2 linked regions of the Arabidopsis thaliana genome follow. The protein of the gene in region 1 interacts with the protein of each later gene in a pairwise test. Each region holds a gene or a part of one and is shown in the gene's direction. Other genes may lie near its edges.

Evidence for each region. The genes of interacting proteins can lie anywhere in the genome.
Region 2: the proteins of AT4G16670 (region 1) and HB-12 interact in a two-hybrid assay, tested with the Arabidopsis thaliana proteins (one large-scale study listed by BioGRID).

What each region holds. Positions count from the first base shown.
Region 1 is NC_003075.7:9,383,075-9,387,790, forward strand, and holds AT4G16670 (auxin canalization protein (DUF828)), read left to right. Parts: upstream 1-2,105; 5' UTR 2,106-2,251; coding exon 2,252-2,602; intron 2,603-3,105; coding exon 3,106-3,496; exon of another isoform or gene 3,497-3,618; coding exon 3,619-3,819; intron 3,820-3,913; exon of another isoform or gene 3,914-3,948; coding exon 3,949-3,998; coding exon of another isoform or gene 3,999-4,085; coding exon 4,086-4,143; coding exon of another isoform or gene 4,144-4,148; exon of another isoform or gene 4,149-4,197; intron 4,198-4,257; coding exon 4,258-4,496; 3' UTR 4,497-4,680; downstream 4,681-4,716.
Region 2 is NC_003074.8:22,913,194-22,917,909, reverse strand, and holds HB-12 (homeobox 12), read left to right. Parts: upstream 1-2,516; 5' UTR 2,517-2,670; coding exon 2,671-3,024; intron 3,025-3,210; coding exon 3,211-3,564; 3' UTR 3,565-3,756; downstream 3,757-4,716. UniProt on the Arabidopsis thaliana protein: Probable transcription activator that may act as growth regulators in response to water deficit.

The sequences.
Region 1 (4,716 bases):
GTTAATCCCAAAACATTTCGTATTGTAGTTCTAAAAAGGTAAAAGAGGAATGAAAATTATAATTGGGTAGTAAAGTTTGGTGGGACTTGCAAGTTTCATTCAATAAGGTTTCGTTTATTATGAATGCACCGCCATATTGTGAAAGTGAAAATGACGTTGCACCAAACTAAACAATTAATTCCCCCTCATGCAAGATATTGATCCTCTTCAAGTTTTTCTTCTTTGGTACGGTGACCTTCCTCAATGACAATGAGTCAATAACAAAAAGAAAAACTTTGCGTTTCATTTACTAATTTATTTTCCAATTTTAGTTTAATAGATATATCATGCCAAAACGTTGGGAATGTATATTTTTCATACGTGCGTAATTTTTATTCTTCCGGTTAAGTATTCCCAAACTTTAACAACAAATTCCGTTTTCATGTTTTACACAAAACTATTGTAAAGTTGATTAACCACATTAGCTATATGACTAAATTATTATTTTTGGTTCAGTTGACTAAGAAAATAGAAACTGTCTAACCTATGATGGGACCAGACAACAGTATCTCATAGCATTATTGAAGTTTGGTTAGTTTTCATTAAATGAAAAGAATATATATGCAGGTTATCTTCTAGTCCCAAAGTGACAATGACTTGTCTTGTTTGGAATTGGACTGATTAAAGATAAATACAAAAATATTTACTATATGAGGATACATAATGTGTAAGTTTATAACAACTGCCAATATAACTATCAAAATATCATACAAAAGCATGATCGCAAATTAAAAATGGTACGTAACATGTAAGAAAACGAATTAGCCACCAGTTGATAGTAGTCTCATTTGACATCTATTGTTCTATTAGAAGTTAAAAAAAAAAAAAAAAAACTATATGAAAGGTAAACCATTCCCAATATAACGTAATAAACATAACCATCGAGTATCAACCAAAATCATGACCACAATATGTCAAGATGAAAGTCTATTAGTTATTTGTATGTTAGCTTAAGTGAAAAAAGTGGATGTGGGTGAGTGAGCGGTTACAATCGATGATGAATGAGTAACCGTACGAATTGATATTGTCAACTATCAAACGTTAAATTTTCAACTCAATAATTAATCAACATTTGATATTCGTGAAGTAACTTTTCACAAAAAGTACTCTTTGATAAGATGATTTATGTCCATAAAACTAATTGCTTCAACTACATTATTGTCAATATTTGATATCAATCAATTCTCTATGCTTCCATGTGCAAGTCTTATCGATGTGATTGAAATTTAACTTATGGTGTAATCTTTTTGTAACAATCGTTTCTATTTCATATTTTAAATGTGAAATTTATCAAATAGGAATCATACTAGAAGGTCTCATATATATTGAACCGAATAAATAATATTTAATCATTTTTATGATATATATCAATCGCTTAAATCCGCAACTAACAACTTTATTTACAGGTAGATGTCTATCATTTACACAAATTTTTGTCTTGTTTGCGGTTCGATCTCCTGCCTAGCAAGGATTCCGATGAGATAAGAAGGCAATCTTTATCGCATAACGTTTATGGTAATTTAATATGTCATCACAACATTATCTACGATCTGAAATCGACATAGTATCTCTGAACCTCTGTAAATACCACGTATTAATTTTTTTTTAATATTAACCTTCGTAGAAATCACGTTGATCGTTTATATAAAAATATAAATGAACAAAAATTTCTTGACAAAGATATAATTTTAATAAAATGTTTGTACATATATATAAGTCTGTATAGGAAACAACATATGAAGACATGAAGATAATAATGTAGAGGTAGTTATAATTTTTTGTGTCTTAAGTCTTCACCAACTCATGGTGAAAGGTTCACAATATAAGTTGATCGATCGGAGTTCGAGTTATTCTACTAAATATGGCTTCAATAAAAATTTGGTTACTCTAAATAGTTTCAATGGGAAAAATATGTAACAATAATTTTCACAAACCTCAAGATTGATTTTCTAATTATTAAAATAAAGTACACCATCAAAAACAAAACAGGGACAAGATCCACGTCTTGCAATAAAACGTGCCTTGTCAAAGATGTTCTCTTTGACTCTTTAGTGTAGCCATCTCTTTCTCTATATATAAAAATCAACCATGGTGTGTGTCAGTGTGTGCACATATTTTTATAAGATATCTTCACATACACAAAAACATTTATTGTACAGTGCACAAGTGATCGAATATTTGATTCTTTTTCATAATCAGAGATCTGATCTAAATGGAGTATGACCGTACGTTGAACTTGATTCCATACGGACTACAAGGAGTAAGAGAGGAGGAAGAAATCGAAGAAGACGATGAAGAGAGCATGACGTTGTCGTCAGTACCAGAAAACGAAACGTCGGAGTGTTCTTCGCCTCCGGCGACGTATCCTCCAATCCCTCCTCGGCCTAAAACACCGAGAGAGCCGATGGAGTTTCTATGCAGATCATGGAGTCTTTCTACTTCTGAGATCTCTTTAGCTTTATCATCTCAGAAATCTGATAAACAACTCAACAAAAACCCTAATATTTCTCAGTTGGCCGATGTCACTTCTCTGGCTCCGGTAGCACCACCACCGCCGCTACAAGTAAGCCGTCTCTTGCTTTCATCTTCTCTTTATTGTATATTAAGTTCGTATGGTTGATATGATCGTACGTTACCATCAAATAAAGGAAATTAATTTTGATAGTACTATTAGAAACTCACTAAAGATCTTGGATGCATGCAAATGAAGTCTTTTTTTTTTTTGGGATCAAAATATTATACACTTGTAATTGATTTTAATAGTTGAATTTTCACGTTTATAAATTTGCATACAATAAGTTGTCGTTTTCAGTAGTTGCCACAAAGATACAATAAGTGAAACAGTTAGACGTTATTTTCCAATAATGTTGTAAATACTTTTTTTTTTTTAGTGTAAAGTAATTTTCATTATATTCTCATGTGTAACGAAATTATTACTTTATGCTAACAATTTGTTAGGTGTTTTAAGTTTATGGGCCAAGAATATATTTATAGAACCAAAATAATAATATTAAGACCCAATCTGTAAAAAGCCCAAAATGTTTAAATTGTTTCTTTCTTCAACAGACGGGAAAGCTAGCGAGTGCGGTTCACGCGCGGAGAACGGGAACGATCGGAAAATGGTTCCACCACCGAGAATTCGTCGGCGGGAAGGTCTCCGCCGTAAAGAAGAGAGATAGAGTTCGCGTGGAGAAAGCTCATCTGCATTCCGCCGTGTCCATTGCGTCTCTGGCGACGGCAATCGCCGCAGTGACCGCTTCAGGCAATCAAGACGGCTTCGCTGGATCAAAGATGAGCTCAGCCCTTGCCTCGGCGTCGGAGTTGTTAGCTTCTCACTGCCTCGAATTGGCGGAGCTTGCCGGCGCCGATCACGATCGCGTCGTCTCTGCTGTCCGATCAGCTGTTGATGTTCGTGGACCTGGCGATTTGTTGACTCTAACTGCTGCAGCTGCAACAGGTACATTGATTGTTTGACTTCAATTCTCAATCCTTGATTGTTTCGCTCTATTGAATTTGACTAGTCCATTGTAGTTTTGAGTTGATCATTCGATTATGATTCTCGGTTTTTCGATAATGTAGCATTGAGAGGAGAAGCAGCTTTGAGGGTAAGACTACCAAAGGAAGCTAAGAACAGTGCAGCTATAAGCCCCTGTGAGAGAGTTTTACCAGAGACTCATAGTTGCTCTTCTGAGCTCGATCGCACTAGCACGACCGATGAACTCATATCTGCAAAAGGAGTTGAAGAATCAACTGGAGAGCTAATGCAGTGCACACGAAACGGTAATGTTTCAGTAAGAGCTTCTTTACTAATTGTTGTGAATGATGATGATATTATAATTCAAGAATCAATTGGAAACAAAAAAATTTCACTTACCACGAGATTGATGAATTGACTCATGGACTTTCCAGGTGTTCTGCGGTGGAAGCATGTAAAAGTGTACATCAACAAAAAATCTCAGGTTAAACATCGAATACTCATTGAAGCTAACAAAGTTATATGCTGGTTGAATTCTAGAGTTGAATTTTGCTCGGTTTCTCTTTTGCAGGTCATAGTAGAAATCAAAAGCAAACACGTTGTAGGAGCATTCTCCATGAAAAGCAAAGGTTAGTGAGCTACTCTTCTTTCTTTCAATGTCTATGGTGTTCATTTGTATAAGCAGAGTGATCTTGGGACTTTGTCCAATGCTTTACAATAATCCAGTGGTTGAATCACTACAGGCATTGTAAATGATGTATGCGAGACAGTCTCAGGCCTGCAAAATGGAAAAGACACGGAAAACACAGAAGAAGAGCTCTATTTCGGAATCGGTACAGGGAAAGGTCTGACAAAGTTCAAGTGCAAGAGCAAGGCTGATAAGCAGACATGGGTGGATAGCATCCGGAATCTTCTCCATCGAGTAACTGCTGTTGAGGTCGACACTTCTCTTGAAACTATAAACATTAACGATAGCACATAAATCATGATGTCTTGTGTTAACGGTGTTAGTGTTGGTTATTTTCATTACAAGCCAATGATATGTATTGTTTCAAGAACATATACATATCTGCAAGTAGGTGTAGTGTTTTTCATCTTCGTCACTTGTTTTTATTTCAGTCAAATTGTAAACATTGTTTTGTGGAAATAATGAAGAAGATTATAATAAGGCTTGATGAATCTCACCGGAGAAATGTCCATGT
Region 2 (4,716 bases), on another chromosome or scaffold:
AAAAGCTTTACACGCGGCAAGGCCAAGAGGTTGGAAGAATATGCAAAATACAAACATGAAATGACAAGGCGCCTTAAAAATAATAATTAAACAAATATGACTTTAAAAGGCTCTATAGTCTTATGTATATGTTCTGTTAAATTTATCCAAATTAAATGAGCCAAAACTACGTTTAGTAAGTATTAGAAATCATAGCCAAGATGTAAATCTAATTAAAGAGGACGAAATTTGATTTCTTAAGTTTTATTTCTCAAAACCATATTACTAGTTTAATCTTTATCATTAAACAGAACCAGATTTCTCTTAGACAAATGAAAGAAAAAATAGAAGTAAAGAATCATCTTCTCTTACGCATCTTATCAAGAACTGCTACATTTAAGCTAACCTCGACACGTGATAACATTTGTCGGACGCAATTTTCATACACAGCCACAAAGCAATCACCACGTCATCTTCTCATCAACTTGGCTTTCTTAATGGTGCCAAATGGCAATGAGTCAGTGGTTGATCTTGACAACTTTGATTGCTACTTGTCTGAAATGTCTACAGATCTGATTCATTACATTGTATACCAAAACTTTCGTCCATTTCCTTGTTGAAATAAGTCGATGTAAGTCATTCTATTCAAATATTTTTTTTCATGAAGTAATTTTCTGGTTTTAAAGCAAAGTAATAGATTATTTATAATTTTTTTAATTTTAATGGCTTAAGGCTAAAGTGACGTTGGATCGATGAAGCCGCCATAGTTCACAAATGGCCGAATTTAATTTGTTGTTTGTATTTAATAAGTCAAAAGAGATTTCCGAGAAGCAAGGTGAACGTAACCTTAAACTAATCATTAGAACATTAATTATATAAGTTGCGTTTATCATTAATATTGTTGCTTAAAATTACAAACTTTCAAAATCCCATGGTTAAGATAATTAGTGTTTCAGAGCCTAAGACGGAACGGAACTTGTGTAATTTTGTAAGAATAAACATATTAACTTCGTGTCTAAAAAAAAACATACTACACTGACTTCGTTTTCTAATAAGTAATTGTTGTAGAATTTTAATTTATTTCTGTTTATGTAAACTGTTATTTTGTATGTTTAATGCATATATTTTAGACAAGATACTTCTATCCATAATAGTTAGCTTATTAATAGAGGTATAATAATCTTTTTAGATTTCATATTATATTTAGTACTATTGGTTTTAGAAAAATGGAAAAAGGTCAAATAAATAATAGGAACACCACTGGTTTATATTTCTTTTCTGGATTGTGTATACTTTTTAGAAGAAAACTAAAACGGCATGTTGAAAAGGAAACCAAGAGGATAGTAATTAGGTCAGATTACTTGTTTAGTTACAAGAAAGTCAAGAAATCTCATAATTGAGTTTAAAACTTTAAACATTTGCATGGAAGTCAATAAATCTATAATCCTTACTCGTGATCATCTTATTGTTTCCGTGTAACGAAATTAAACGCGTAAAACATCGCGTAAACTATAGTACGGTATGTGATATGCAAATATATCTTAATTTATTTTTTATTTTTTATTTTTCTTGGGCAATGAATTGAAGAGTTGCAAAATTATTTGCCAGCTTACCACATGCGGCCACAATTTTAACCATGATTAATCTTCTTTTGGAATTTAGCGAGATAAATCAAGAGTAGGTTTATTTTAGAACATAGTATATAATACACTAATGAAAAGTCTCGTTAAAACGTGTTTCACGTAACCGACCTCTAAAGTATGGCGTGCGAGTAACGACAAATGAAATCTCAAATGAAAATGGAGATTATTTTAATCTTAATTATAACACACTAATTAACACCCGTCAAACATCCTGATATGTGAACGTGGAATCTCGTTACACAATCGAATAAAATTATTGCTTAATACGATCCGTCTTTCTCTCTCTTTCGTAATGATTATCTATCAATATTATCTTGACTAATAAAAGTATCGCAAGGCCTTGGCAGTCACATGTTAAATGATGATATACGTTGTTGCATGTTAAAACATAGTACAACGATCATCTAGGCTGCTGCTAAATTCTATTTTCAAAAATGCCTTTTATATGCAAGAAAAGCAAAATAATCGAGTTTTTTTTTTTGTTTCATTATAAACTGCTTCATTTTTCTTAGGAACGGCCAAACTGTTAAAAAGTAAAATATGTATGGTGATTAATTGATGTAACCAAAGCCAGTTCGCCCGTTTGATTGTCAACCCACGTTATCATTCACTTGATCACTTCCATGAAACATATAAAAGCTGATAATACTTATATTATAAAGGAAAAAAAGTATGAAAATATTATCAGTAGTTAGATGATTAGTTCACATCTAAATGAAATACGACTTAAACTGAAAGAGACATGAGCCAATTCGTGTCGAGCCACAAATTTTGGACGTATATTTTTAGCCCGTGGTTCCACAATATTTGCAGGTCTTTTTATTCAATGAGTTTATTTTGTCTTGGTTGAATAATGAAATTTCCAAATATAAAAAATAATAGAAATCCGAGGCCCTACACAAGCACACATAGTAACTCCCACATTATATATAAGCGGCCAATATCAGCAACTCAGAGATTCCAGAAAGAAAGAAAAAAAAGAAACAAATAATTCCAAAACCTTCTCTCTTAATCAAAATCAAGAAACTTACAAGATCTGGTGAAAACCATGGAAGAAGGAGATTTTTTCAACTGCTGTTTCAGCGAGATTAGTAGTGGCATGACCATGAATAAGAAGAAGATGAAGAAGAGCAATAACCAAAAGAGGTTTAGCGAGGAACAGATCAAGTCACTTGAGCTTATATTTGAGTCTGAGACGAGGCTTGAGCCGAGGAAGAAGGTTCAGGTAGCTAGAGAGCTAGGGCTGCAACCAAGACAAGTGGCTATATGGTTTCAAAACAAGAGGGCTCGATGGAAAACTAAGCAACTTGAGAAAGAGTATAACACTCTTAGAGCCAATTACAACAATTTGGCTTCACAATTTGAAATCATGAAGAAAGAAAAGCAATCTCTGGTCTCTGAGGTACATAATGATTCTATCGATATCTTTATCTTTAATTGAACAGTGATAGAAACAATAATTGATAATGATCTTTTTTTTTTATAAAGTATAAAATAGCAAATACAGTCTTGGCATTTATTGGTTTTTGGGGGATGTAAATTCTCGATCATTTTGCCTAATTTGATATTAATCAATCTCTATTTGCAGCTGCAGAGACTAAACGAAGAGATGCAAAGGCCTAAAGAAGAAAAGCATCATGAGTGTTGTGGTGATCAAGGACTGGCTCTAAGCAGCAGCACAGAGTCGCATAATGGAAAGAGTGAGCCAGAAGGGAGGTTAGACCAAGGGAGTGTTCTATGTAATGATGGTGATTACAACAACAACATTAAAACAGAGTATTTTGGGTTCGAGGAAGAGACTGATCATGAGCTGATGAACATTGTGGAGAAAGCTGATGATAGTTGCTTGACATCTTCTGAGAATTGGGGAGGTTTCAATTCTGATTCTCTCTTAGACCAATCTAGCAGCAATTACCCTAACTGGTGGGAGTTTTGGTCATAAAAGCATATAAGAAAAAAACAGAACATAAGCGAAGAGAAAGAGTGTGAATAGTTTGTAAATTATGTGTTAAGAAAAATAAATTTAGTTTAGTTTAAATCTTGTTTCGATCTATGTATCTACTATGTTCAATACTCTTTGTAGCTAATTAGTAGCTTATAATGAGACTAGAAAAGTTTTGAAGTCACCAAGGTTAAATTTGTGATTGCAAGTTGGCTCTAAGAGTGTTGGACCAAGCGTAATGATCACAAGTACAAGAGTCTTCGTCCATAATGATCTCGAAACGGACTAAAAATTGACCTAAATTTGAAACTAAGTGCATTTATCTCTATATTGGTGCTCTGCTATAATGCTTTCAATATCCTCGAGATGAATTGTCTATGAATTTTATCACCAAATATCAGTTTTGATCACATTCCGGTTCATCAGCTCAGGTTACTCTGTCACTCCCTTCCTATGAGATATTTGTAGCTGGATTGGCAGATATGGAACAACTTCTTGTAGATGCAGAACTAGTTCCTTTTGGTGTTTGTCTTTCCAGTTTATAAGGAACAATCGAGTCATGATAATCTTCCTATGATTGATGTCATGTGGGACATGTGCTTTGTAACCAGACTCTCAACAGAATGTAAAAGAATGGCTCTAAGTCAAGTCTTTATAGTGTCCTTAATCTTGTAGCAACGGTAGCCCCTGGATCATCCCTTCTTCCTTGAGAAATCAAAGCAAACCAATGTTTCTCTTATGGTTCTGTTCTGTATAATATGGGGGTATTTTGGGAATTGAAGTTTTCAACGTCTCTTTCATATGTTTCCTTTTTTAAAGTCCCGCTCCTGTATAAAGCAAACCCTTCGAAATGGGTCGGACAATATGGGCCTTATCACGATGGGCTTTAAAACTCTTATTCATCAAACTAAACCCAACTTAGAAAGAGTTACCCAACAGGGTTTGCATATCACTTCCATTTTACTTTTTATCTTCGAAACAAATCCAAATCTTGGACCAAGAACAATATCTAGATATTGGATACTTTCAGTGAATAAAATATGAAAAACCACTGTTAAATTTCTATACATACACATTTTGACCTGACAAGATCTTTTACTCTCAAAAGAGATAAAGCTTTACTGAGTGAGAATATATTTGTTTTGTACAAAT